Oryzias latipes: one gene and its partner. The protein of the gene in region 1 interacts with the protein of each later gene in a pairwise test. Links are inferred from orthologs where the notes say so. Each region holds a gene or a part of one and is shown on either strand. Other genes may lie near its edges. The genes, in order: hivep1 and atxn1l.

Region 1 (15,053 bases):
CATTTTTAAATTCCATGCAGCTTTTTTTTTTCATTTCATAACATAAAGTAGAAATAGCTGCAGAAAATAGATTTCTATAACTAATTTAAAGGGGGGAAAAAAGATCAACAATTATAACATTTAAGATTGGATGCTGCGGTGATGTCATTATGGGAGAGACCTGTAAGAGGCATGTTGTTTTTGGCCACATGCACTGACAGATGTCAGCCTGAAGGGGGCTCTGTTGGCCTAGCTTTAAAGGTGACAGAAATAAAGAAGCTGAGGGATGTGAAATAAAAAAAAAGTTTCTAAAACATAATAGACTTCAAAGGAATTAAAAACAATGAAATGAAACGAAATAAAATAAGCTAAATATAGATTGGCATTCTAAAGTACAAAGTACAATAATATGGTAAAACAGTTAGAAAAGATAGCACATTTGTGTTGTAATACTGTGAAAGGGAAAAATCCAAAATTAGGACATGGAACCTTCAAAAAGTGGTGGTGGTGGGGGTAAATTAATCTAACTACACTGAATTATTTGCAATAGTTACTAATATCTGCTGGTTGAACTTGGGCATCACGTCCTTTCTGATTGAGGGTTTCAAATGACATTTTTCTAGCAACGGATGCCGGTCACCATGTTGTTTTGGTTCTGCTCGATCTGGCAGCTGCATTCGACACAGTTGACCACCAAATCCTTTTGTCTCGCCTGGAAAGCTGGGTGGGTCTTCGAGGTAGTGCTTTAGAATGGTTCAGATCTTATTTAAATGAGAGGAGCTTCTGTGTCCGTCTTGGACGTGCAGAATCCCGTAGAGCAACTTTCACATGTGGTGTACCTCAGGGCTCTGTTCTGGGGCCTCTTCTTTTTTCATTGTACCTGCTTCCACTTGGGTCTATTTTCCGCAAACACGGGATTTCATTCCACCTCTATGCTGACGACAGTCAGATTTACATACCATTAAAACAGGAAGAAGCATATTCTGCTCACCAGTTACTAGAATGTCTTGATGACATTAAGACATGGATGTCATGTAACTTCCTGCACTTAAACCAGGAAAAAACAGAGGTTCTGCTATTTGGTCCAAGTGATGTCTCTAAGGCACATGTTGACTTAGGCGTTTTAAATGATCACCTGAAACAGACAGCAACAAGTCTAGGTGTGAAACTGGATAGCAATTTAACTTTTAATGCTCATATAAACTCAGTGGTGAAATCCAGTTTTTTTCACCTGAGACAACTGGCCAAGGTTAAACCTCTCCTCTCCCGCCATGACTTTGAGATTTTAATCCATGCTTTTATTTCAACACGTTTGGACTACTGTAATGCTCTCTATGTTGGGCTTTCCCAGAAATTACTTGCTCGTTTGCAGTTAGTTCAAAATGCTGCTGCCCGTCTTCTAACTGGTACACGGAAACAAGAACATATCACTCCCATTTTAGCATCTCTTCACTGGCTCCCAGTTCGCTTACGCATTGATTTTAAAATTCTCCTATTTGTTTTTAAATGTCTCCATGGACTCGCCCCAAAATATTTGTCTGACCTGATTCAGGTGTACAATCCCCCCCGCTCCCTTAGGTCAACAAATCAGACACAGCTGGTCGTCTCGAAGACCAGGAGAAAACTGAGAGGTGACCGAGCCTTCTCAGTCTTCGGACCAAAAATCTGGAACGAATTGCCCCTGTACCTCAGACAGATAAACTCACTCAGTATTTTTAAATCTGCTCTTAAAACATATTTTTTCACTTTGGCTTTTAACTGAGTTGGAATCCGGACCTATTTTATGTGTTTTATGCTTTATATTTTCATGTGCTTTTATTAATTTTTGCATTGTTCAGCAATTTGGTGAACCTTGTTCTGTTTAAAGTGCTTTATAAATAAAGTTGAGTTGAGTTGAGTTGAGTTGATTTTGTGAAGAGGAGGTTGTTATAGATGGCTGAGTCACAGCTGATCAGGTAAACTGAGGAACCTTTCTTCAGTTCGATTTTTCTGGAGTCAGAATTTAAAAAGACGGATAGCAGATGATGATGCGTTGATAAAAATAATAATGGATTTTATTTATATGGCGCCTTTCTGGGCACACAATTTCAACTTACAGGTACAGCACAATAATAAACCAAAGTTGCAAGAGTAAAACAGTATTTAAATTCGTTTTTTTTTTTTAAAAACAACCAATAGAATTATAAATGAGACTGAGATAATCCTGAGAACATCATTTCATTCACCATTTTAGCCTTTGCTGCTCACAAATGATCTCAGAATGTCCTTGAGATGGAGGAGTTTTTTAGTTTCATGTTCAGATGTTCATGTACCACAGTCGTGTCCCACAACCAGGATGTCTGCAGGATGAAGAACACGGTGGAGGCAGAGTCTGAGTCATGCTGTTTTATGAGTGCAGAAAGCTGCATTTGTTGCGTCCACATGTTCATGAGGACATTTTTGTCATGACATGGCTTGGAAAATGTGAAAATACTGGAAAAACTTTTTGACTTTTGTCGTGTTTTCTTTCAATTCCCATTGTTACTGTTTCTAGTGTTTCTATTCCATCAATGCTGAGAGCCGAGTCTGTCCAGTTGCGTTTCCGTGTAGGTTTTAATTTGCTTTAGAGCCGAGAATATCCCCTCGACAGACGCAGTGGACACGGGGATGGTCAGCGCCAAACACACAAATCTGAACAGCTGCTCATGATCATTATCAGATTTTTCTGATTAAGGAAGTCAATGAGAACAGTGGGAGGTTTCCCTGCAAAATCTTCCATGGTGTACGTTACAGTCAGCTCTGTTTTTAACTGAGACAGATCAAAAAGTGCTCCGCGGCTCTGTGTCAAACTGGACAAGGCTGCATGTGGGAAATATTTCCTGTATTCCTGAAACTTCTGTCCAATCAGAAAGTCTGAATACTGTAACGTTGCCTAAGCCTGCTAAGAGGCCCTGCTGACACTAACTCAAAATCTTATTGGTTGAAGGAAATTAATGTCCGACATTGATTTCGCATTAGGGGACCTTCAGAACTCATGGTGAAGGCCTCTTCAGCTCCTAACCTGCCTGTAACAAAGGACAGCTCAAATCAGATTGATTAAATGCTCCAATATGAAAATATGTCTGACAGTAGAATAACTATCATAAACACAATAAAAGGGAATGGATAGATAATTTGGAATATGAGTATGCATGGACAAAAAATAATTAACACATGACTCAGATATTTTTGATACTAACTGAATACTTCCATCAATATATAGCCTAAAAAGATGTAAACTTCAAGCATACTGTCTAACTTCAAGTATACTCGTAGTATACTAAAATAAACTACTTTTTGCCAAGGGTAGCCCGAGATTTAGCCCAAAGTGTTGTGCATTTAGCTGCTGTAATCACACCGTTTTGTGCTCGGGTCCGTTTCAGTGAACCTGCGAAAGGCGGGTCCGAGCAGGTTCTAGTGGACTCTGGTTCAGTCCAGACCTGCTGTGATCATCTAACACGATGCGGTGCAGTTCTCCAAAGCTATGGCACCAGTAAGAGTGCAACACTATCCTAGGCACTTTACCATTGGGAGTGGGGTCATCTAGACCCACTACACAGTGCGCTGAACCTTTTTTCTTCAATGATTTGTGATCTTTACTGGTGTCCATGGATTACATGAAATCCTCTTCACCTTTATCCACCTTTGTCATGGTAGGGAGAACATGTCAATGTAAGGGCGGGGTCATCTAAGATAGCACAAGGGTTAAAAAAACAACCAGTGTCACGTCCTAACGTTTCAAACCGGCTATTGTAACGCAACAAATTGCAAACATGGTTCTCTAAAGGTGGACCACAGTGGAAAATGGGAAATAAAACACATTTAAAGCTATGAAACTTAGTTTTTCTACACTATTTCATGATAAACCCCAAAAAAGGACATGCTGCCCCCTCCTGTATGGGAGGGGGCAGCACAGAGAGCTTTGAAGGATAGATCTAGCAAGGAATTATGGGTAATGACACTAGAGTGTGGTTGAACTTAGGGAGTTGACTGGATGAGTATTTTGGCACCAAATCAAGTTCTCATGCAATGTTCAATAGATGCACATTTTGTTCATAAAACCTCAGAAAATGACTTGAAAAGTTGCTGAGCGTGAATGTGAGAGATCTGAACGCAGAAACCTAAATGTGCGCGCGTCACATGAACCTTTCATTAAAAGTGGTCGCTTGAACGTGCTTTACCGTGGGCGGCGTGAACCTAGCATCAAACTTGACCTTTATGTTACGGGTTGTGCTAGTTTGAGTCAGATTGTGGAAGCTGAGTTATGTGATTTACAAAAGTCCCGTACCCCGCCCTCCCCCAATGACACCAAACACCACCAGCAAAGGCTTCATAAACAAACGTTTACTCATACAGTAAATATTAATACAGCAACATAGAGCTACCTTGATGCACATACCTGTGGACTTATGAATCATTGTGGGCACTATATGGAGCATAATAAATAGAACACATCTGTACACGTTTGCCCCAAAATCCATAGAAATGCAGATATACCAGTACGACATTGAGAAGTCCATACATTTACGAATGACAGATCCTCCCAGATAAAAAGTGATCAACTCTGTTTTCATCTGAAATGAACAAAAACAACCACTGAACTCCTCAGAACTATGTACAGTGTCCCAAACAAAAACTCCATGAAGGCACACTTGTTTTTACAACATGTACAAAAACAGGGTTGGATAAGTCAGACTCAAAGGATTGTTGTCATTGTCTGATTGCACGTACAACGGCTTCTGTGCTTTGACTGCTGAGGTGGCGAGCCCCGCAGGGTCTTCAGTTCAATAAAGTGACCAGAGTTCCAAATATGGTAGGGGGGGGAGGCTCCACCGTCTCAGGTGGCGATGACCAGACGGTCTTCATCGTCGCTGGACGCCTCGTTGTAGTCGTCGATGGTCGTTTGTCGGCTGTTCTCAAACACAGGTACCGCAAGCTCAACGGCTTGGGGATCTGGTGCCGATTTTGGATGCTCAGCGGGGATTTGGGGTGCTGAAGCTGGACGCTGAGGTGGGGGTTTCTCTTTCTCGTTCCACTCCACTGTCTGCTTCATCGAAGGGCTGCACCCTCCTGGATTGGGTGGCACAGAACCCCAGGCAGGGCCAGCAGGTGGCGCTGAAGAAGCCTCTGGGCTGCTCTGCATGTCGAGAGAGCCCGGCCGGGGGCTGAGGGCAGACAGAGGGCTGAGGGAGGGGATGATGGCAGGCAGGGCGATGTTGACAATCTGCAGGCCGGGGACGTGCGCTTGCGGGCCGGCGCTGCTCTGAGAGTTGGGATTGGCAGCGAGCACCTGCAGGCCCAGAGCAGCGTTAAGCGTTAGGCCCTGGGGGGGTAACAGCGGCGTTGAAGCCAGGCCAGGGTTGGTCAGTCCCATGAGGTTGAGCGTCTGCGCCTGCAGGCCGGCCACCTGCCCCAGGGGGAAGCAGGGGACCACACTGCTGAGTGGCTCCTGGACCACCACTGGATGAGTCTGTAGGCTCTCTGGGTGGGGGGGCGTGTTGGGAGGTGGCAGCGGGCTGGTATTTCGGTGGATGACGCTCACAGCAGGGATGGTAAGCTGGACCGGGCCAGCCTGGATCGGTAGGAAGGTGGCCAGGCCGGCGGGCAGCAGCTGGATCCCTCCCACTGGAAGCATGCTGTAGGGAAGGGGGGCCGGCTGCTGCGAGTGCAGCGGCAGGTGACTGAACAGGTGGGTCTGCGCTCTCACCGCCTGCATTTGGGTGTGCGGGGGCAGGGGTGGAGGAACTTGGGCGGGGTAGGAGGTCTGCGTGCTTCTGTCCACAGGCGTGTTGGAATCAGCGCTGGCTGTAGAAGGGGGGGCATGAGGATCCTGTGGAGAGAGAAAATTGTTAGTTATTATCTGGGGGGTCTTGAGTTAAACTAACCTGCATCAGTAAAGCTATGACTAAGTTAGGGGCGGGGGCGCAAAGGAACTCACCTGGCCTAGCTTGTAGACCTTTCCCTGTGCTGGGGGGCTGAAGGGGCCGTCAAAGTCAGGGTAATCGATGGACATCTGCCTGCAGGGGGAGATGGGGCTCATCATGTGCACCGACTCCGGGTCTGAAGTGTACGAGTCTGAGGTGACCGCAGGCGGGGGAGAGGCAGGGAGGTGGGCGGAGCCTCTGCAGGACACGGATGTCTGCGGATGGAAGAACGCGGTGGACGCGAAATCGGAGGCTGGGGGCTCAGGAGCGGCAGGCTGGGAGGCGGGGACAGAGCTGATGGACATCTGGGCGAGGAGTGCGCTGGGGGGAAACTCTGCGTCTCTGTAGGGGAGGTGCTGGGGGCTGGCAGACACAGACGGGTTGGTGGACAGGCCAGACTCCGCCTGACTGTCGTCCTCCTCCTCTTCATCATTGTCGTCATCGTCTGGGCCGTCCGAGTCATCACCATCGGAATCCTGGCGGTCGGCGCCGCTCAGCTGACTCCGGTCTCCTGCAGGGGAAAATCCGGGATAAATCCTAATTAGTTCATGAAGAATCTTTGAAAACAATTAGACACACGTAATTCCAGAAAATTTAAATAAAACTGAAAAACAATAACAAAGAAAAGTAAATAATTAAGAATGGAAACAATGAAAAATAAGTTGTTTTAAATTTAATTAAAAACTAATCACCAAATCACCGTGACGTCTGATTATAAAAAGTCTAAATCTAAATAATCTGGAAAATGAACACAAAGTGTCAGAAATAAGGAAGCAGACTCACTGAAAACCAGAGACACTGACTTTTTGGATAAATTACAGAAATCCTAATCAAATTTTGGAAATAATCCATGAAAGTTCATTAGCAAGAAGGAAAATTAGGAAAATTCTAATAAAAACTAATGGCACTGCTGCAGAGTGCTGCTGGTCCTGGTTATGGAAAAGTCCAACAAAATAATTAAAAGAAATGTACATGATCATTCCACCGAGAGAGATGCTACTTTTCTCAAGTTTTCAGAAAATAAAAGCAGCTTTTTTGCTAAAAAAAACAACATCTTTAACCTGTTACATTACCGTAACTCCTAAACTGTTTACTCAATTAATATAACTCCAGCAGATTCCAAAGCGGCTTTGCGTTGATATGCAGCACTTAACAGTAGTTAAGTGTTTATGCAATCAATGTAAACCAGCTGATGTTGATACGGAGCAAAGTGGCTTTAGAACCATTTGAATTCTGTGACAGTAAGTCTTTTGTATATCACCTGTGAAAGAAAAAGCCTGACGAAAGACTCACAACATTTGGACCACTTGGACATTTCGCACCAAACCTCTTCCACGCGTAGGCGGCGGACAAGTGTAAGTAAACCGTAGAAAAAGGAGAAGAAGGCCCTCCTTGCATGCACATTCTTTAACGGTGTGAATGTAGCTTTATTTAGGCGTAGCCGGCGACAGCTCTGTTGTTAAAGGGTTAACAGAAAATTGACTTTGTTTAAATTATTTGACCCTTTAATGCTGGAGATGTTGTTGGCGAGACCGGAATAATACAAGCTCTTTATCGTACCGTAAATATGACGGTTTACACGAACAATGAAAATCAGATCATTCTGACGCAGAGAAGTGCGGCCTTCCATATTGAAAATGTTGCATCACCGTACAAAGTCCCTTTTTCCACTTCAGAATCTGCTGGAATTGCGTTAACTGCATAAACGATTGAAGAATTAAAATAGTCAAAAGAAGCCCTGGTGGTAAACCCAGCCTAGTAAAACAGGAAATAATTGACTGAGAGACTGACTTTTAGGAGATGCTGTGCTCCACAAGCATTTTGGCAAATCTTTGGTCCTGACCTCCAGAACAAAGCCTGAATGGCCGTGCAGGGCGGTTCTGCTCATAGTGGGATTTTTGGTTGTTTTTTAAAAATTGCTATACTTTTATTTAGCTGCGCTGACATTAGCTCCGGGCTGTTCAGAGCAAACAAAGAAAAAATAAATAAGTAAACTCTTGGACCTAACGGCAGACACTGAAAGGGTCCCAACTCTGACGGGTGTGTATGTGTCGGGGTTCACTGTAATCCAACAGCTTCCAGGTTTTTCTGAAAATCTGTGACTGAAATCAGACGGCTGGACAAACAGTTTCATCTCCCACACTTGCCTCCTCACAGCGGGAGAACATTCAGGGACATTTGTGTGCTGCTGCAGCAGAGCTTCACCCTCCCAACCGTCCTCTCCCTGCGAGCTGCATCACAGGCGGAGGAGGGAAAAACAAACTCCAATCCTCCCTCACTCCGTTCTTCTAAAATTAGATGCAGCAAATTTCCTCTTTGTAAACTCTGCGCCTGCCACCCACATGTGCGCGGCGCAGCCGAGGAAGCGGCGCCGCTCACTTGTTTTTTCACAGAGTGTGGCCTTTAGCGGCAGAACGTGAGCAGAATCGGCCAACAAACGAAGCTGAAGCAGAACACTTGGATGTGAAGCGAGTAAACCCGGCTTCACAGATTCACGTTTGTGGGTTCAGCACAGATGGTCGTACCAGAGTCCTCCGCATCCTGATCCTCCATCACACCCTCAGGCACCCCCGTCTCCATGCACTTCTTCCTGTGGGCCTTGGACTTCATGTGCTTGGTGAGGTTTCCTGCAAATGAGAGGGCTCACATGTGGGCAGAGCTCTGACCGAAGCGCAGAGCCGTTTACGTAAGAGCGAGCGCTCTCTCTGGGAAAGCTGCAAAGGTGAGTAACTGATGAAGACATTTTTAAATGAACGTGGGCTGCTGACACCCAGAGCGGCTCTGCAGAGGCGCGTGGGAGGCCAAATTCAATAAAGAACAGTGAATCATTACGTCTTGGAGAGGCTGGAGAAACATTTTTAGTTTCACTGAGCATGCTCAGATGAGAGGCTAGCATTCGGAGCTTTAGAGGGAAACAAACTTTAGGTTTCTGCAGAAGAATGCATTGCCAGGAGGAGGGAGGGCTTCGACGATATCACTTAAAACCTCTTTGAAGAACAAAATTAAGATTTCTTACCAGTAACAGGGGGAATCTTTACTAACCAAATAATGCAAGTCTTTTGTAGCTACTACAGAACTTGTTTCTTTGCTGAAACCTGATTTAATTCTTTTTAAGTTGTTTTTTATCTACAAGAACTCCCATTTTTTCACCCTCACTTTTTAATAATGCACAGTGTTCCCTCGTTTATGGCGGGGGTTACGTGCTAAAGATAACCTACAACATTTTCCCACTGGTCTCTTTTGTTTTGGCCTCTTTGGCAGATTTGACACCATAGACTCTGACTTTCCTAAAAATCTGTACATCCATACTTAAGACCTTAGGGTATGGCAGTTACCTGCCACCAAAAAGGCCACGCCTCCATTCTGGGCTAATTTTGACTCATTCTGACTGATTCCACACTTTGGTCAACTTGTATTTGTTTTGCTGAATTGGATTTATGATCTAGATTATCGGTAAATTATAGTGAGAGTTGTGACTTTGTTTTGTTAAAGACATGTTACCCCTACCACAAGCTGACAGTTCTGGGGTAAAGTAGTCAAAGCAGAGTTACAATTATATATATTTTTTGTTTTTGTTCAAATGGTTGATTCAGATAAATCCTATTTTTATGTATTTTTCTGGTGCCATTTTGATGGTAGGATCACATGTCTATTAATAAACAGGTTACTACGGTATGTCATTTACTGGCAAAAACATTTGTAACTATGAAGAAATGAACTACCAAACACACATTGTCACTTTAAAACCTTTAAACTATCCAAACCAAGAACAAAACTACTTTACATTTTGAATGTATTGTCTAAAAAGTAGTGTCAGATCCTTACATTTGTTGTCATCTGACAAGATTCACATTTTTATATCCTTTTTCTGTAAAAATGTGCAGTTTCCCACTAAGTTTGTTTGAATTGCTGTTGTCCAATTTCATAAAATTCTCATTTTTACCATTTTTATTACAATTATTTTTTTAAATAAAACAAACAACATTACTTCAAAACATAATTGAAGTGAAGTTTTGCACTGTAGATTAGTGTGAGTAACAACAAGCTGTGATCAGCCTTCACCGAAGCTGACCTTTAGTCTTGAAGGAGAAGTTGCAGTGGACGCAGTGGAATGGTCGCACATCCGAGTGGGTGCGGATGTGTTTGCGCAGCATGCTGGGCTTCTTGCAGCGGATCCCACACTCCTCGCAGATGTACTTGCCCCGCCCACGGCCGCGCACGTACACATACTCCTCATTAGATTTGAACCTGTGGGTTTTCAGGGAAACGGTGAGCGGCATGCGAACATCCAAAACAACCATTGACGCTTCTCAAGATGACAACCAAATGGACGCTTACCCGCCATCAAATATTTTGACGCGCCGCGGCTCGGACAACAGCGGCGCATCTTTCTCCGAATCATGGCTGGTCTGAGGTTCTGGTTGTGGTTTGCATCTGGTTTCAGACGACACAGACTTCTGGGATGCTGGCATCTGCAGAAAGAGGAAGAAACTCATGGATTCACTGTGGAGAAACAAAGCCAAATAATCAAGAGGGAACATTCTAACACCTCCGTTTGGGTCGACCAAACCCATTCATTCCAGATAAATACTGTTGAAAAAGGGATCTTAAAAGGAAAAGGGACCTAAAACCATTCGAGATGTCTTCAAGAACTCTTCCAGGCTCAAAGACAACCAGATTTCCATTGTTTCGTAGATTTATGATAAACACACTGAAGCCAAAATCAGCTTTAGACTTTGGACCTCCAATTCTGGAGGTGGCGGCCTCCATCATGTCCTTAAAGGGCCACATCACTGTTTGACTTAAAATATATTTCTGAAAACTTAACTTGAAGCACTATAAATAAAAATCCTGACAATAGTTTTCTTTCATTCCACTCTAACAGCTAACTGAGTTTATGAACTGTGAAAAGAGAGGAATTGGCTCTGTTCCTGCTGAGACACATGACAGCACTTCCACTCATGCTCTTATCTTCCTAACTCCAAAACACAGATGTGGTGTTTCACATTCATCCTGAAAAAATTGGTATAACTTGCTGTGCTTTAACTTTCTGCTCTTGTTCTCTTAATGTTACAAACACCAATCAACAAAAAGCTGTGCTCACCAAAACTTTCAGCGATCTTATTTTGAAACACTGATCTTTCTCTTCCACTATCACTGATGTTTTCTTCTTGTAGTGTATATTCCTCAGATGAGTAATTACATTTCACTTTAAAACCAAGTTCAGTGACTTGCGTTTAGGGGCTGGGGGCAGTAAATGACCCTAGGGTTGGGAGTTTGAGAGCCTGGTTGAGAAAAACGACGACCATCAAACACGGTTGGCTAAAAGAAAAAAAGTTGGATAACTGATATCCAAATGATCTATATTGATTAATGAAATTCAGGCATAGATTCTTCTATGAAAGAAAAGTTTGTTTTTCAGGCAAAAAACTGCCTTAAGTTTGATTTTTAATAAAAGAATCTGTCGTTTTAGTAGTAAGTTCTACCTTTGTTCAGTTTTTTGAAGATTGTTCTATTTGAAGAATAAAACAATATTTAATTGAATCACATCAAAATGTAAGTTAAGTCATAAAAGAATCTAGATAATCCATCCTAGGAGGACAGAGGTATAGTTAAAACTTAAGTGACTGCAGCTCGTTTGATCTGTAAATCTTTTGATTTGTTGTAGTTATTCTAATGACAATAATTGTGGTAAAACTTACTTTAAGCATGACGTCCTTCAGCTTGCCCGAGAAGGACAGGATGTCAGACTCCCTGCTGGTCCTTATGGCGGAGGTGTAGTGGATCTTCCTAGAGCTGTGCTTGGAGTCAAAAAGAGACAAGACCACCTTGGTGGGCAGCCCAAGGGGATTGGAGTTATCTGTACTGACGGTCCAGGCAGCGTATGCTGAGGTTTTCAGGTCAGTCTGCTGCATGTGAATAGGCTTCCTCTTCATCAGGAAGCACCATGTGAAGGTGGTGGTGGTCTTCAGGCTGGGGAAAGACAGCCGGTGGGCTTCCTTGGTGTTCACCGCTGACACAGACGTGGTCAGTTTCACTTGACCTGCATGGAAGCTGGAGGGCCGTATCAGGGATTTGGCCGGGGTCCACCTCTGCTCCTCGGATTTCTCCTGGGGCTTCAGACTGTTGTCAGGAGGCAGGGAGGTAGTGTTTATGACCGGATCTTTCTTCTCGTTAATTTCCTTTGCCCTGCTTTTTTCTACGCCTACCGCATCAGGAGACATGGGCTTGACTCCATCATCAGCCTCAGAGTTCTTCTCCTCGTTAGGTTTGAGATCAGGCAGGGGTGGGGCCTCTGTCTCAATGGGACTGTCCACCGGTTCAGTCGTACACACCTGTCTCACCAGCATTAGCTTTCTCTGGCGTGACACCTCGGATATCTTTGAGTTGAGGTAACCGGCCGACCTACCGTCTGTCAAGCAGGCTACACCATGCTCGTCCTTGGCACGTTTCTGGTGCTTTTCCATGTAGATGTCCAAACTGTTGGCTGGTGACAACATGCGCTTGCTGGAAGCAGCGGGTTCCTGTTGTGGGCACAATGTCACAGAGGCTAGTTTTTGCATGCACTGCAGAGAACCCAGGGATGAATGGTCTGCTGTGTGTGGGGCAGGAACTGCTGCAGTTTGAGTCCGGTCATGTGGGACCTCTGCACTCTGAGTGGACAACTGGTAGTGCTTACTGGACTGAGAAGAGGATTGGTGCATCTGCTCATGGGTGATCAGGATCTGCGGCAACGAAGCAGTGCCCGTTTGGCTATGGTCCAACGGCTCCTTCTGCTGTTTACTTGAAAATACAACAGTCTGGGTCTTCACATCGGACGTCTGCTGACTGGCCACAAAGACATTCTGGATGATGTCTGAGGATTTGGAAATGCTCAGGATCGGATTGGCAATTGGAATAGTTAAAATTGGCAAAGCGATCTGAGTCCCCTGCGTACAGAAGGAAAAGGTTTGGCTGGGACACTGGAGTTGGTATTTGGGCACAAAGGATTTATTTTTCTCAAAGTCAGATGGTTTATCTTGAAGATTTTCACCACAAACTGATGTCTTGCTGAGAGCTTGCTGTACCTTCTGACTAAACTGGACCTTTGCCGTTTGGTACCAGGGGTGTGGCAAACCATGGACTTGTTGCTGCTGGGTGGGGCTGCCCAGATTAATGCTTTGCACCAGTTGCTCGTGTTGTTGCAGCGGTGGCTCCGCTGTGTTTAGGATGGCGGACGCCACTGGGGCACGCCTGCTTACAATATTAATTTGCTGGGATCTGTACTGACCGAGGGAGCTGACGTTAGCAATCAGGGCTTTGTCTAAAGTGCCAATGGCAGATTTCCGAACAGGCTGCTGACTCTCCGGGCCAATCTTTAAGGACATCTGTCGAACAAGTGGTCCCCGCCTTCTCTCAATCAGTGGCACCTGTGCGACCTGTCCAGTTTTGGGTTGACCGATGGGTGACAGACATCGTCTTGGAGGCACATTGCCGCAGTCAAAAGACTTGCTTCGATAATCACACGAAATCTCCACCGATGGCTGAGTGCAAGTGATCTGCTCAGATGCGGCACGCCTCATCATTCCAGGCACCCCAAGGGTGTTGAGCGCCACTGGTAAACTCTGAGGTTCTGGAGTTTTACCTTCCCCTCTGGATGGACTCTCTGATCGAATTGTTTCCTCTCGGTCAAAGGAGGCTGAGATGCTGGAGCCTCGAGAGAGGCTGCTGTCCCTGCTAAGGCTTCGCGAGAAGCTGGACTCAAAGCTGGAGTCACCTGACGACTGGTCCATTTGAGCCAGACGAATTCTTTTCTTCTTAGGGGGGAGCTTCTCAGCTGGTAACTTGGACAGACTCTCACTTCTCTGGGGCCAGTTGAATTGTTCTGCAGGCTTGTCTGCCGGCTCACTGGTGTTAGGTTCATGCTCCCTGTCTGAGTCTTCTGTTACCAGAATCTCAGGAACCAGGATGTTGCTTTGTCGTACAAGACGAGACTGATTGACTGGGGTTGAGCTTGCAGCACTCATACTATCGCTGCTATACTCCCTCCCGAGTTTCCTGTACTCGTCACATGTAGGTTTGAAAGCTTTTTCCTGGTAGGAATCAGTTGAGACTCCAGAAGATCTATCTAACTGTGGACTTTTCATTTGATCTTTCTCCAAAACATCAGGAGATACTCTATCAAGGGAGTCCGTCTCAAATGAGTTGGGTCGGCTCAGAGAATTGGTGTGTCTGATGACTGATGTGCCACTGCCTTGCCTCTGAAGGTCTCCTTTAGCAGCACCACTGATATTCATCTCTTGAATGGGAGACAGTCTGGACTCTGCCGTGTTCATACCTCGTGCTACAAGCTGGATCTGAGGAGGCTTTGATTGGCTGTTGGGTTGGATGTCTACTATGAGCCCAGTCTGAGAAAAATTCTTGTTTGGCAGAGTTGTTGTCGCCTCACAACCAACTAAACATGGTGGAATGGTGTCAGTTGGAGACTGATCATCTTCATCACCTACACTTTTCATTTTCCTTCTCTTTCTGATTGACGTCTGTTGGTCTAGTGCACCAGTGCCGCTTGGTATGTGCTGCTGTGTGTTGACATGGAAAACATCTTCTTCTGGTTCCTTCACCACCAAAGGCTTGTTCTTGGGACCATGAAGTTCTGAGCAGTAGAATTTTTTGTGGGTTTCAAAATTCTCCAACTTCCTGTACCGATTTCGACAAGTCTCGCACTCATACATGGTGCCTTTGTTCTGCTGAGGCCTCCTGCTTCGGTCCTGCCCGTGTTCAAACGATCTGCTCCTCTGCATCTGCTCAACCAAGCTGCTGTGCCCATGGTAGCCCTCATCCATTGACCGAACAGCCACCAGGCTGTGCCCCTCACTAGTTGAAAAGTCGTCCACAGCTTTTTGTCTGACTAAAGTTCGAGAGTGTATTGCGGGATTTGGGGTTGGTGGTGCTGACAAGAACACCTCATCATTCAAAGAACTAATCTTTTCATCAAATGACTGACAGCCCCTTAAAGGTCGGGGCACTGGATTGATGCTGGGTGGGGGAACTGAGTGTCCGGGCGTTGTGGGCATTGAGTTACTCCTTGTGATCGGTAGACAGTCCATTGGTGGGTACTGATTAGGAACTGATAGGAGAAACACATGTTTTGAC
Region 2 (15,674 bases), on another chromosome or scaffold:
CCATAGCTGAATTTCTCATTTAGTGCCTAACTTGTTGGAACGGTCAAAAACGGCCCATATAGACCTGCTGTTTGAAGCAAATACATTTTTGTAAATAAGTGAATAGATGCTAATATTACAGGGAGTTGATAAGCAGTCTTTTATAGTCCTGCTTTAATAATGCGAAATGTAATATTTATAAATTGGCAGATATAATGTCAGTTTTTCTTCCATCCTTTCTTTCCAGTCTTCCAGAGCACATTGTGGTGCCGGCCTCTTTGGCAGACCAGGATCTAAAGCAGTACTCATCATTCTATAATGATGGCCGCATCCCTGTGAGTACTAAAGATCTGACAGCTGACCAGCTGCTGATTTTACTTTGCATGATGTTTAGGTCGTAAAACAAAAAACACTTGGGCAGTAGAGTATTTGATAGTCCCAAAATTTTAAGCCATACAACTTACAAAGATCAGAGCTCAGTAGTGTTCATTACTGATGCACTTCAACTGTTAGAATGTAAATAAGAACCTAAGGAATTACATAGGAGGATTTTTTTTTAAAGAATTTATTTGTTTAACAGTGCAGAAAACAAGTATTTGATAAGAAGACATCAATTATTAAATAATTATTTAAAAGATTGAATAAATACAAAATTTCTAACAATTTCCCACCACCAGGAGCTCCATGCAAGATCTTAGCTCATGTGATGTTTCACAAATGATCTTGAGAACAGTGAAGAAGCGGCTCCAATCTCCACGTAGGAGCTAAACACTTGCTCTCTGCACAATTAAGCAAATACATTCTTCAATCATTGTACAAGGTCATTTCCACCCTGTATAATCTGTGACTTCCAAAATTTGTTTTGCCAAACTAATTCATGAATTATTATGCATTTTTTAAAATCTCTGTTTAATTTAAAATGTCCTTTTTGAAAGATGTGGTGCTGGAGTAACCGTGATGGGAGTGCTCTGATCCGCATGGCCAACATCACAGACCTGCAGCAGCAGAGGAAGATTGAACAGAGGTATTTTTCCACTGCTTTCAAACTGTTGGACCAAAAGTTTCAACTAAATTGTCCATTTCTTTACTCGAAATCTACGTTAAAATTGTTTGTCTTTTTCAGTTCCCTTGTTTGTAAAGAAAACGGTGCATTGGTCATAACAAGACCCCCATCTTTGAAGAGGGTTTTAATGTGTCTGTGGTGAAATCTTCATGATATAGTTCACCTGCAGCAATTCAATAGATGCATTTTTAATAAAGACTGTAAAATGCATCTTTAAATATAAAACTATTTGTTGCACTTTAAGACAGTCATTTAAAAAGTGTTATTATTTCAATGAAGACCAGAGGATTACATTTGTTAGAGATACAGATTCATAGACTTAAGTTTAAACATTTTGGTTTGTCCATTTGTGACACCAATTTATTGAATTCCCTTAACAAGTGTTGGCAGTCAACACTAAGAGATTGTTGGCAATGATTTAGACAGCAGATTCTGTGCTGATCTTCTATTGCACATTTTGGACAAAGTGTGGTTTGATAACAGACGATCAAAGTTTTCCTTTTTCTGTGCTGTGTTGCTGTTGTCTGTGGTTGTATTGTAGTCATTTTCCCCCCTTTTTTTAAACAAAAATATGGAAATCAGTGTTTAAAGTGTTCGTAAACTGGTTCCTTGGCTCCTTAAATTACTGCTGACCTGACATTTAGATGTGACTGAATCTGAGTGGCATGCGGTGCAAATCCCGGGTGAATAAGATTTTAAATCTAGTAATGGGCGAGCATTTGGTTTATGGCATCATAAGTGTTATCTGGGCCCATTTATCATCATGATGACAGTGTTCTCGTTTTTGTTTTGCTAACGTTTACTCCTTTGGTTAAGGTAATGTTATTTATCTAGACTTCCTCACCACATTCAGTACCTGAACTTAATATTGTAAGGACTTGGCTCTCTCGTCAACAACGGTGTGAGCACCAACTCTTGCTCTTCTGTAGGATCTTCAGTGCCATCAGAAAAAGCCATCCTCAAGACTCTGAGGCTGTGAGATTAGAGCTTGACAAGGGTCTTCCAACCATTCAAGAAATCCAAAGTGCCTTTGCCAAAATCAGGCAGATTTGTGTCTTAGGTGAGTTATGTTGTATTGCACAAAAAAGTAAACACATTCTATGTGCATTTGTCCTGTTTCTGCATTTACATTTTCTGTGTTTTTAGAAATCAACATATTTCTAACACCGGAACTTTAGCTTCAGTGTTAACATTCCTTCGACCGTCGTAACTCTTCAACTGTTTACGCAATGAACGTAATTCTAGCAAATTCTGAAGCGGAGCAAAGCAGCCTTAGGGTGGTTTGCAACAGAAGAGAAGCGCTTATGCATTTCACCTAAATCCACCGATTCATGTTGATCGCCTAAACGGTTGAAGAGTTGGTTTGTGAATTTAAGACATGGACAGCATATATTAATATAACATTTAAAAATGCAAATACATGACTTATAGCCTGTTAAGCTAATTTCCATCTTTAGTCCCCAGACAGGTTTAAGGTCCCTAAGTAAAAAGACGAGTTAAGTTATGGCATACCAAAGAGCTTTTGTTATTTAGGCAACATCCCCAGGGTTAAAGGGTTGAGCTTTTTACCAAAGGAGACGCATTTCAGAAATACTTTTGAATTCTGCAGATCCATTTGAGGAGACTGAAGAGCGATGGCTTTCATCTATTGAAAACTCCAGATGGCTCGACTATGTCAGGTATACAAGCAGTCACTTATTTATCATTTTAGAAGTCAATGTTTTACTTGGGATATATCTACAGACAAGAATATTGTGTGTTTTCCCCTTTCTGTTATTTTTATGAACGTTTTTTAAACAGAGCTCACAAATATATTTATTTTTCCCAAGTGAATCATTTCTAAACCGTTGACTTGCTTTTTTTTCTACACCAGTCATTGTCATTGAAATTGTTATTCTTTCTGTAACCAAGGGTCTTTTTAAGACAGTCAGCAGAAATAGTCTACCTCTTGGATGGAAGGAATGTTTCTGTAATTCTTCAAGGTAACTCCTTTTTCCCTTTCAAAAGTCACAGAGCTTTGCGTACTGTGCAGTTTGGATTTTGCTTGTTCTTAATAATCTGGCCAGTCTGGCTTTGACACTTGGCGGAATTTATTCTTTTTTTTGTTTCTCTCATTTTTGTCCAGGCCTAGCATAACGTTTGTTTGTTTCTTCTGTTGTGTAGAGGAGGAGGACCGAGACCTGAACTGTGTTGTGTCCTCATTGGTGCAGCTCATGTTGGACCCTCACTATCGCAGCCTCACTGGTTTTCAGAGTTTGGTGCAGAAGGAGTGGGTGATGGCTGGCCATCGCTTTCTGGACAGATGCAACCACTTGAAGAAGAATGATAGAGAGGAGGTATGCCTGTACTTGTTAATATTTCTAGTTACAGGAAGCAGTTCTCCAGATCTCCCTGGGATGTGTGGTGATGTGTTGTTTCCTGTTGTTACCTGTTGTATGAAGTGCCCGCTGTTCACATTGTTCCTGGACTGCGTATGGCAGATGATGAACCAGTATCCAGCTGCGTTTGAGTTCACAGAGGCATATCTGACAGTGCTGAGTGATAGCATGTGGATCCCACTGTTCAGCACTTTCCTCTTTAATTCTCCTAAGCAACGGACTCAACTCTTGACGGTAAAAAAATAATAATAATATTGAGACTAATAAGTATTGTGTTAACCTAATCTTTATTAATCAAAATGCTACAAAGCTCATTATGCCCCCCAGGTTTTCCTTAAAAAACAAATAAACCCAACAACATTTCATTTTGTTCTGTAGAAATAGTCTTCAGAATGCAGCGTGTGAAATGTCTTTTTTACTTTTTAGGACTTTGCCAAAAACAAAGCCATCCCTCCAGGAGAAGACCCTGCTGGGTTTTTCCCTGCAGTTTGGGAGTGGTCACAGCAGTTTTCCACCAAAGATCAAACCCTCTTTAACAACCCCATGTATGTCGGCAAAGGATCTGCACGTGTTCAGAACGGCGAAGTGAAAACCTTCAGACGCACAAAGGTACACAAGACACCAATTCCACGTCACATTAGCTTGTAGTTTGGTTGATGTGATGATCTTCTGCACACAGTCTGAAGGCATTTCAGAGATTTCAGAAAAACCTGTTCTCACAAAGGAGAAAACATCCATCCTTTAGTTTTTTTTTTTTATTTCTGCCATGCCGTTCAAATAAGCAGCTAAAACATTCTCTGATAAATTGATAAACAGTCTTTCTTTAAAAAATGTTCCATGCTCTTATAGCTTTGATCTTATCTTATGACAGTCTAATTCTTTTTATCTATATATTATTTTACTGACACATAATATACTGCCTCTATAGTTGACACAAGCTTACAATAGCCTAATTCTGGTTCTTTCTTCAACAGAAAGTTTATTCTTCCACAGTTCGGGGAACGTCTTCACTGCCGGCTAACGGGCTAAAAGGTAATGGAGAGCGCCGACGGAGCTCTCTGGTATCCGAGTTGAAGCCAGATTTCTCACCAGTGAAAGTGGAAAGTCCGTCTGACCGCTTCTTCAGAGACTGGTTCTCTCAACCTGCTGACCAGCACGGCGTCCTGATTCCCCTGCTCATGCCATCACATGTGGCTCTCTGGAAGCTCTTCTTCCTGCGCTGGGTCTCTGAAGCCTGCATTCCTAACGGAGGCCCCATCACTACCTACCACAAGCTATCCCAACTGGTCGATGAAATAGACATATTGCAGAGCCAACTGAGGCAATACAAAGGCTCCAGTCCAGGGAGCACACCACTTCCGAGCCCGAGCGCCCCCCCCTCTAACCAAAGAAGGATGTATTTTAAGGCGACTCCTCCATGTGACCCTTCCACCGTTCCAGACGTCTTTACCTCCTCCTTTCCTTTTAGTCCAGTGGGAAACCTATGCCGGCGAAATCTCCAGGGAACTCCAATTGGCAAATTTTTGAATGGTGCAAAGATCTGGCTCTCAACGGAGACTCTTGCTAATGACACTGTTTAAGGGTAATGGGTTTATATTTGTTTTTTTAAGAAAATCTAATTCTTCTTTATTATTTCTTTGTTAAATACTAATAAGAAACCTAAGAGATCAAATTCAACCATTTAAATGTTTTTCTAAATATAAGCTAAAAACTGCACCATTTATTGCAGCATCCAAATCTTGGGGAGTACTTAATTGTTAAAACTAAATCCTTAACATCTTCTACACCTTTTAAAGCGGATTGTTTGTTTGAAAAGAAAAAAAAGACAGAGAAATGTCTTCACTGTTGAGATATTTATGGTGGTTTTTGTGTGACAGAAATGGCACCTTCAGAGATTCTATAACTGCTATTCGATCAGACTCAGAAGACTCATCCATTGACATGATTCACTGTGCGTTAGAGTAATAATTAATAAACTGTTAAAAATATGGCTGTTGCTCTGCCAACAGTTTGTCTTTTTTAAATCCAATTATCCTTTAAGTTTCGTATTTTAAATTGGGAATGACTTAATTCTAAAACTGTGATGCACTTCACTAAACACTGATTTTCAAGAATTTAGTTTGTTTTGATGTTCAGGAAATGTAATTAAAGCTGAGAATGTTGTGCCTTTTTCATCCTAGCCGTATTTTAGAAAGAGAACCATTAAAAACCCAAAGCATGGCTTAAGGAATCGGTGTGCTACCTGGTTAAATGTAATAGAAAATCCTTTTATATTTAAGTTTTTTTTTCTTTTCTTCCTTCAAGGTCCTGTGTTGAAGGAAACCTGCAATAAGGGATAAATGCAGTGACTTCATTGTACTGCTTTATTTAGTTTTACTAAGGTTTTCTATTCTTTGTCATAGGAATCTTACTTAAGCAGAATCTTTATGCAGTTAGTGAGGACTAAAATATAATTTTTTTTCGTTTTGTTGTTTTTAAGATGTTGAACTTTCCTAAAGGCCTTCTGGTAAGGCACTGATCAGAAAAAAGTCGTAGCTGAATGTGAAAACAAGTGTGAAGTGATGGACCCAAGCTAATCTTGTTTTGAACAAATGGGGTTTTGAGTTTCAGGCAGGAAAGCTGTGGATCTGGTGATGGGAGCTCAGCTGTCATCTTTCATAATACCAATAAGCCTTCTGGATTCCAAGTCCTACATGAGCAGGTTGTTTTTTACTTGAAGTCCCATTCCACCTATATTTTTAACTATTGCTTCGTTCCCAGTGGTCTTTTCATTATGACTACGTAGATTTTAGCCAAAATTTTAATAAAACTGTGTTTTTTAAGACATTGTTTCTGCAGAGTGGCAGGTGTCCATCAGACATTTGCCTCTGAGTTGTGGGCGGGACTGTTGGCGTGGAAGTAACCCTTCGCTGATTTTCCCGTCATCCCTTTGTCTACACACTCTCCCGCGAGCTTACAGCCCCTCACAATTCCAAGCTAACATTAAAAGTGCAAAAATGTTGAGCAATATCAGAGCTATCCAGCCGTACAGTTTTGAGCTGGATACCAGCTCAGACGAGGAAAATGAAGAATGTTAATGGATCTATTTATCTGTAAGTGGATGCATCAGGATTGAGCGGAACAGGGAACTTTGGCCTGCCCAATTCAGTTGCTGTGACACAAACATGAGCTTTTTTATCTGCTCCTGATTGAATAAAGAAGTGCACAGAAACACAGTTTTAACCTTAAATTCTTTTATATGTCTTCCATCATGAGAAACATGCTAAAACACCAAAAGCATGATATTCAAGGGAGTGGGTCTTTAACATTATGACAGCTGACAATAGAAATCTTCTGTTTGTCCTACCTTAATTTCTTTTTAAATAAAACCTTTAGCATACATGTGATGATCTCTGCAGAGAACCGAGAAGATGATTCTCCTACTGTCAACAACTTATCACCAGCTTTACATTACATGAATAGAGATGCATCAGAATTTATCTCTGGCCATTACTGTATAATTTGAAGGACACCATAGAAATATCAAAACATGTTATAAAAATGCCTCAAAGACCTGGCAACAAACATAATTTTTCCTGTCAACGAGGAGCATTAATCTTCCAATCCAGTAGTGATTATACTATTACATGTTCTTTGGCAATAAATGTTTCAGGTTCTTTATTGCATAGTATATACAGTGTGAGTGCAAATCTGCCCTCTCAAATGCTAAATTGCACATTTTACCCAAAATATAGATTATTTTAAGAGATTGGTTGAAAATATTTTTTGCAGATTTAAATACTTTTATATGCTTGAAGTTTTTCCAATTCATTTTTTTTTTTTAATTAATGGTACTATAAAATGTTAATCCCTTATTTAGTCTTTATACTTATGGATGTATATTTATATGCTGTTTTTCCATTTAATTCACCATGATGTTCTCTGCTGTAATTGTATGATGGCTGTGCTCATTGTCACAGTTTGACTTTTAGATTCGGCAGATGTATTTATTCAATTATGAATATTTCTGTAAGAGGAATGGAGTTGCTGCTGCTCATCCTCTGTGCCTTTTTTGGGAAGATTTACTTTTTTTGTATTTATAATCTATATCTTTTGGCTTACTTTTGTCTTTTAAAATAAATAACTTTTACTAAATCTAGTAAATTTCATGAGAAGTGCACTGAAGTTGTTTTTCTTCTAAAAATGAGGATCAAGTGTTTATAACAATGTAACATGAAACAATTACATTAGTTTTCAACCATCACTGTGTTCTTGTGTTTATTTTACTAAGCAAAACCTCAGGGCAGCACAGCATTCACATTCTTGCTTTCCTACTGAAGTTTGACATTTTATATGTACAAAAGTTTATTTTAAGAAAAATAGGAACTAGAACACAATGACTGTAATACAGTGAAATTTTCTACTTTAACTTTCTGAAATAAATATTTCAAACCTAATTGTATATACCAACCAACAAATGCTGATTATCTTACAATTCAATTATCCATGAAGGTTTCCTCGGATAACTTTTCTGATGACACAAGAGTTAAAGATGGAGATAGTTAATTGTGCAGGACTCAAAGGCCTGTTCACTACAAATTTGCAACACTTACACTGTAAAGGTGTTCTATCTATCTTATCATGATGCTTGAAAAAGTCTTGTATAGTAGATGGTGGTTTTATTCCCTCTGCTGTCTGCCATACTATCTTTTAGATTTAAGGCACTTAATATAGTAATTTCCACTTTCTGCTATTGACCCGGGATTTGCACCGCATGCCACTCTCAGTAACTGGTACTGTGATTTTAATACTATGAAAGAAAAAATTATACAGACTCTAATGTGGATCTAACAATTAAAAATATATTGCTTTTTGTCACTTATACGGTAAAAAAAAAAGACAAAGTATAATTGGATGCATACATTGTCATTTGTATGCATTTTGGAAGAGTTTAGCGCGTATTTTTTTGATATATGTGACTGAGTTCAGAATTATTTTAAGAAACTGAAAAGTTTGCCTGGAAAAGGAGGAAATTGAGCAAAAGTGGTGACGTCATTGGTGAGCGCCTCTGTTGGCCTTCGAAATGGGCTTGACTCGTTAGCCCTGCTTTTTTAATCGTTATCCTGCACGTCAAACTTTTTGTCAAGAAACTCCCGTCCGCGATGACATTTGTAGGTAAGTATCGAGAACGAAACAGCGACGAAAATCGTCAGTGATAAGATGCAAGTCGAGAAGGAATCAGTAACAAGAGCGAACTGCTAGCTGTTCAGCTAGCTAGCATGTACCTTCGTGCTCGATAAATTACACACACAGACTATTAACCTTGTGTATTAGTTGGAATTGAATACACTTTGTGCATTTCATGTTGTTTTAGTAAGTGTCACTCTTTCATTTATGTATATGTTCCAGAAAATTAAGACTTAAGTAGCTTGCTAACTTTAGCCATAGAAGCTAGAAAGCAAACGGTAATCACTCAGCAGCGGCAGGATACAAGACAACTGTGTGACGCTGGACTCGCTGTTCTTTTCGTGTTGTTTTAAGGCGTCCCTTGCATACAATAACTTCCTATAGAACTGAATACATTATTTGAATTGTGTACTAATAAGTATGAATTCAACCGGGCAACTTGTTTGCATGACACCAGGTTAGCAACCATCTACAACCTGTCAAGAGTACAAAAGCTGTTACACTATAACAGTATCTACACCCATTAACCATGATTAATTGTTGTTACTTTAAATACAGACATGTGGCCATTTCTGTGAGTTCAAAATGAGCCCCTAATATCAACACTCCTCAACCATACAAATTATGTAAGATATGTTTACTTACCTGTCATTTGAAAGGCTATCTTTGTATTTTAAATAATAAAGTTCCATGCAAATAACCTTGCCAGGAAAAAGCTTCTTCTTTATAAAGACAATCTTGGTAAGTGGTGGTTAAACACTGAGATATGTATATATTCTTTTAGTGCCTCAGAAAATCAATAACCCCAGCATGGGATGAACTTGCATAGAACATGCAGTCCAGGGAACGTTTTCAGCAATTTGTCCTGTTTTAAGATTTAGAATGATCTTTCACATTTTTGAATATTAGACTTAAGTTTGGGAATTGTTTTGTTTGTCATGAGATTTATGGAATGGAATACTGGCAACTGTGATTTTCCGACCAATTAATGTGTTTTGAGTTCTACTGTTTTCAAGCTGTTAACTCTTTCTAAATATTATTTTATTATAGATTGATAGTTTGATATACCGATAGATTTTGTATTGATGTTTGCATCTGGTCTTTGTAATTTTGCTGCATAGCAGTTGATATTTTTTTATTTGTCCCTTGTAACGTGTCTTAGCATGTTAAACCCTCGACTGTTTACCCAAGTATTGTTTGCAAATTGACTGTCAAATTTTGCTTTCCTTTTGTTTCCCTTGTTTAACTGTAGGTTAAATGTGTATTCATATTCTCAGGTGAATTGGCAGACAAAGTCAGCCCCCTCTTTGCAGAACTGGTTCCTGTGTGGGCGGACTGGCCTGCAGGTTTCACTTCCTGTGCAGTACAGTAGAGCGACTTGTTTGGTCAGAGGATTACCATGAAACCCGCTCAGGAGCGTAACCAGGAGTGCCTGCCTCCAAAAAAGAGGGACCTCCCTGTCAATAACAGCAGTGGAGCAGGGGGGACAGGAGGAGGAGGAGCTACGGCCACTGGAGTGGTTGCTGGAGAAGACGAGGCGGCTTCCATCCAGAACTCTGGATCCAACAGTGAATCTCAAGGAGGGACCTCATCTGGAGAGTGGCTGCAAGCACAAGCAGGTTACCATTATAGAGTGGATCATTCAGACAATATATCAACTGTTCCTGTTGACCATTATAGCATGCTTTACAAAGTAGCTGTTCCATCTGTTACTTACTCATCCAACAGTCTTCACCCAGTGCTAAGCCACATCTCTCAAGCCTATACAGTTCACTCTCCTCTTCTGCAGCATCCAGGCCTCCCCTACCCCCCTCTTGGTTATGCACAGATCCCTCATTCCCCTCTACAATTCGTTAGCCCCCCTTATGCTGCAGTACCGTACGCTCTACCACCTGGCTTTGTCCCAGGATCGTTGATCTCTCCCTCAGGACCTATTCCTCAGGCCCATTCTGTTTCTCACCTTGTTCCCTACCAATCTATCATACAGGAAGGTGTTGTCTCTCCACCTCCGCAGGCTCAGGTAGCTACTCATACCTTTGCCAAAGCTTCAAGTGGTGTTCCATTGATGCTACCCTCAGAGCAAGCAGTCCAACAGCACCTTGGTACAGTTGGAGTTTTACCTGCAGCCGAGCTCAGCTCCAGAGGATTGTACCATGCTCAAGGCAGCAGGGGTTCCTCCACCCTCAGAGATGGCCACAGTTCTCAGTTGGCCAATGAAACAGAGATGAATGGGGGTGATAGAGAACAAGGTGTACAGGACTCTACTCACACTGCCAGAAATGCACATTTACCGCGCGTGACATCCACTTCAGCAACACAAGAGCACAGCCAGGAGAGAGTCCTGCAAACCCGAAGGCTAGAAGGCAGAAGTTCTCCTGGTCAGCGCAGCACTCCAGACAGTGATCTAGAGGTAAGATCGATTGATTTCATTTGTAAAATACAGATGGTTACACATGAAAAAAAAAAGCTGTAGAGGAATGCTCATGTTTTGTCATGGACTAAAATGTTTGAATATTTTTGACACTTAAAAAAACATTGTTCAGTATCTGGATATAAAGTAATCTACTTCATTTTTTTATTTGACACAGGTGTTGCCCTTAAGTGGACATTTCTATTGTAGTGACACCTCTATGATTTAATTGTCATTCTCATATTTCTGCATTTCTTTGTCTAAATTGTGTAAACTATGGTGAGCTGCAGTTTTGTAGAATACATGTATAGTGTATAGTATACATGTATAGTATAATACATGTGTAGTATACATGTCATGTTGTGTTGTATTGCTTCTTACTAACTGCTTTCTGTTGAATCAAACCCTTTAGTAAATGAAAATGAGTTTTGCTAATCCTCAGTGATCCTCTTTATCTTTCAGGTGCAGCAGGTGGTTGGTCGTTTGGCTTCCTCGAGCCAAGGGAATAGTGGATTACGAAAGGAGGTTTCATTTGCCCCCTTGAACCTCTGTCAGGGGGGCCAGAGAGCCGTTGATGTCCATGGCGAGAGCACAGGAGCCGTTTCTGCCAGGACCGTGTATTCTGCCCTGCCTTCAAGCTACAGTGACCATCACAAGCTGACTAGTCAACAGACAGGACAACCTGCCCATGCTGTGGTGCTCGCCAATGGGCAGCCAGTTCTTATACCCATTGACTATCAGCAGCAACATCAGCTGCCACAGCAGCAGTACCCAGGGCAGACTAACGACGCTTCAGCAAGCCATGCTACCACCACATCCTCCCCTAACCCAAGCTTTAAAGCCTCTGATTCTTCAGCCAGAGTGTGCCTCCCTGAGAGAGCAGAGCTGACAGCAGCTCTGCAGCAGCTTCCACAGCAGCCGGTGATCCAGCCTGCAGCAGATGTGACTCAGGCCTTAGCTGCAAGTCTCCTTCCTGCCCAGGCTCCCAGTAATCCATCACACTTCATGAAGGGTGCAATTATTCAGTTGGCCACTGGGGAGCTGAAGCGTGTGGAGGACCTGCAGACTCAGGATTTTGTGCGCAGTGCTGAGGTGAGTGGGGGTCTTAAGATTGACTCCAGCTTGGTGATGGACATCCGTGCCAGCCAGCAAAGACCAGGTCTAGCATCGCTTCATTTTACGGTCGGGGAGCAGCAGAGCAAAGTGACAATCGATGTGCCTCCAGAGCACCCTTTTTTTGTGTTTGGCCAGGGCTGGTCATCTTGCAGCCCTGAGCGTACAGCCCAGCTTTACGGCTTGGTTTGTCACCGCCTGCAAATCGGGGACACGTGTGTGTCAATTAGACTGCAGCAACAGCTTCAACCCCAGCAGGAGAAGCAGCCACAGAAGCATCACTTGCAGCAGCAACAGCAGAACCTCACAAGGACTTTGAACAAAACCAATGCTACATCAGGACCTAGTCACCAGCTCATGGGGCCCCCTGCCCCTCAGCAGTCACGGCCGCAGTCTCATTTCAGGTTGGATCGCATCAACAGAGACAGGCAGCGGGATGGAGAAAAAGAGTTTGTGGAGGAGGATGAAGTCATCCATTTAGGCGGTGGTGGACACACAGAATCACCCATCAGAACAAGCCGAATCTCTGCTGAGCATCCCAGGAGTCAGAGCAGTTATCACTTGCACACAGAGGGCTCTGCTTTTGCAGAGGCAGGCATGGGAGCAATACAAACTCCCCATGGTGCCTCTCAGAGACGATGGTCTTCACCCGGCCTCCAAAGATACAGCGTGAAAGTGGACGACGGGCCGCGTCCTCAGATAATCACCTCTGCTCACCCACGGCCGTCTTTCATCCCCCAAGAGGTCAAACTGTCCATCGAGGGGCGCTCTAATGCAGGGAAGTAGCATCATATTTGGTAGCAACCATAGACGGGACTGCCACGAGTAAGACGAGAGTTTGACAAGGAGAGAAAGAGGGAAAAAACAGTGTGAATGTAGCCTCAGAATGTTGGAGATTTTGCACACTTCAAAATACACAAAGGCATCTAATCATTATTGTCTGGTGAGAAGTTCTGGTTTCAGCCTGCTGCAGTCTTAACGGGGACGTGAAAAGCTAAGCATGTAGCTGGCATGTCCATACACACTGCTTTTCTCTTCCTCCGTCCCTCCTTTGTCTCCACGTTCTTGAACTCAAACCACGTAATGATCTCTTTCTGAGACATTCGCTTTTGGTTTTGGCTATGTAAAACATCCTAGAGAATTGAGTTCATGACTGTCTTTAAAAACAAATTATTGCATCGCACTAGTTTGAAGCAACCAACTCTGGTGAAAACAAAAGTTCAAAGCTAATAATGTTTTAATCACAGCGCAGCCAAAATACTGCTTCTGTGTAAAGCAATCACCCTAAAAAAAGGTGGTTGCTGACATTTGGAGGACCCGCTGTTGTTGTTGTTCCCACTTGTCAGTGTGCTTTAAATTGTGCTTTCACAACAGGAGTCTAAACCCTCCGCTGTCAGCAGCAATACTCTCCCTTCGTTACTCCTTTGGAAGCCGCTCTGCAAAGGTTGGAAAGCTCTCTCAGGCCACATGTCCCATTTCATATTTGTCTTACAATCAAATCAAGCGAATCCGTTGTGTCACCACCTTCCTCCCACTTGCTCTGAATGAGGACTGGAATGTTAGCGGTTGGAATAATCTCCTGTTCTCTTCGATCTAATCTTGCTTCGACCAACTTTAATGTTTTCTTTCCACCCTCCTTATAGACTACTTCATATTACTCATAATATTGTGGATGAGTGAGGCGGTGATGAGACGTGTCTGCTTTAAGCTTCAATTCTTGTTACCAAATGAAAGCAATAGTTCATTTTTAAAAGTACTGCCCCACCACAAGAGTTTCATTGTGTTTGAGGGGTAAATTCTCTGTTTTAAAGGATTAATCAGCTTTAGTTTGATAGCACGACTTTGGCAGGTTTGCTGAAATTGAAGGTGGACTGAGTCACTGTTGGCAATTTCAGTAACCCAAGTTCTGAAAGTGGATGCGCATAAGAGACCCGGTTAGTTTGTATGGATCTGATCCTTTGCTCCTATATAAAGGGATCGTAGGTCCAGCAGGGTTTTTTAAACTGCCCTGTGTTGCACATCTGACCCCCCTCCCCTTGATTTTACTTTAAAATTTAAATAGGACTCCCAATACTTTGTGTTGTTTTTTTTTATAAACAAAGGGAATATTTTAAGAAGTGTTGGTTCTATGTGGCAAAATTAAAATGGACTTGTTTCTCTAACTGTTTACAAATTATCCTAAAGAATGCTGCAGTTCCTTCCTAACGTCAAGGTTTTTATATCAGACAAAAAAGTCTAAAATAGGACAATTTGAAAAGAAGTGCAATTAGATCATGCATAAATCATCAAATTATCATTCCATATGTTGACATTCCCCTCACCAATTGACTAAATACTCTTTTTTTTTTTTTTTGCCTTGTCTACCATTGATCCTCAGGCTTGCCTTTGGCAAACACTTTGATCCCATTGAAAAGCGATGGACACGGTTGTCATAGCGAGGAGCTTTAAAACATCGGTTCAGAAGTTTCTGTGAACTTTTACTTGAATGCTTACAACTTCCTCTGTGCATGTAAAGAGCCATATGCCACTGTCGTCATTTTCAGCTTCAGGAGTTCTTGTAGGATGTGAGAGTTCTTCACTGCAAACCTTTGACGTAGTGTTGGTATTTTCTATGCAGTTACCACAACTGTGCCCTTCATTGTTTCATGCGTGGAGCAGGTTGGCTGATACAGTTCTAATTTTAGGATTTGTGCTTGGAATCACTGTCTTTTTTAGAAGTTTAACACTCGTTAAATGTTCAGTGAGCCTCGTTTTGACCCAACCCTGATTACTACACAGCAGATGCCAAATCGTTGAAGAAGTGTTATTTAAAGTTGTTTAGGCCTGGTTGCCAGCCACTTCAATGTGTTTTAGGTCAGGATGTATTCGATGGAGTTTATTTGTTCATTACCTCCTGTTTATGCTCACATACAGACCATCATTCTGATCCTCCTTTTATTTTGAAAGGTGTGTGCTGTAAAATTCTCATGCAAAGATGTCTAATTTCCTTAACTTCACTGATGGTCTGTTGCTCTAAGTGATTGCACTAAATGTCCTTCACAGTGTTTTAAAAAGGAAAACTTTTGGGGAGTTGAAGACTAAATTATGAGAGCGCACAAAATTGTGGAGCAATCGCAGGTTTTGTGTTTCTGTAGATATATATGCATTTCTCTTGTTGTACATAGCTTTGACGCTTGTCAATAATGCCTTAAACTCTTTTCTTTGTACAATTTGTGAGATGGAAATATTGGAGCAATGTTTCCTGAGACATTTATATTCAAGTTGTCTTGTTTAAATCAAAAGAAACTCTGGAGCAGAACTAAAGACATTTCATTATCTGCAGCTTTGTGCTGTTTCCCATTCTGCTCCGTTACAGTTTTGATTCCCTCTGTTGCTCAAAACTTAATTTGTGACTCCCAAACAAAAGTGTGAATATTCAAGGATGTTAGCAATGGAGTTTTTGTCTCTGCATTAACGCATTTACAAACATGTACAGATCTTTAAATGTATTGGTGTTGCACAAGATCTGTAAGGATTTTTGTTCCTGTTTGCTCCCTAGAATAATGGGTTATTATTTTAATTTTTC

What was found.
Region 2: the proteins of hivep1 (region 1) and atxn1l interact in a two-hybrid assay, tested with the Homo sapiens proteins (2 studies listed by BioGRID). The link is inferred for Oryzias latipes from reciprocal best matches to the Homo sapiens genes HIVEP1 and ATXN1L.

What each region holds. Positions count from the first base shown.
Region 1 is NC_019869.2:19,509,395-19,524,447, reverse strand, and holds the end of hivep1 (zinc finger protein 40), read right to left. Parts: coding exon 11,624-15,053; intron 10,394-11,623; coding exon 10,260-10,393; intron 10,170-10,259; coding exon 9,994-10,169; intron 8,549-9,993; coding exon 8,447-8,548; intron 6,433-8,446; coding exon 5,936-6,432; intron 5,828-5,935; coding exon 4,835-5,827; 3' UTR 4,322-4,834; downstream 1-4,321.
Region 2 is NC_019861.2:21,137,019-21,152,692, reverse strand, and holds the start of atxn1l (ataxin-1-like), read left to right. Parts: upstream 1-8,438; 5' UTR 8,439-8,574; intron 8,575-9,863; 5' UTR 9,864-9,985; coding exon 9,986-10,996; intron 10,997-11,458; coding exon 11,459-12,895; 3' UTR 12,896-15,674. Other genes in the region: mtmr10 (myotubularin-related protein 10), read left to right, coding at 227-314, 915-1,003, 1,972-2,102, 2,652-2,721, 2,954-3,024, 3,206-3,378, 3,484-3,654, 3,847-4,029 and 1 more. UniProt on the Homo sapiens protein: Chromatin-binding factor that repress Notch signaling in the absence of Notch intracellular domain by acting as a CBF1 corepressor. Binds to the HEY promoter and might assist, along with NCOR2, RBPJ-mediated repression.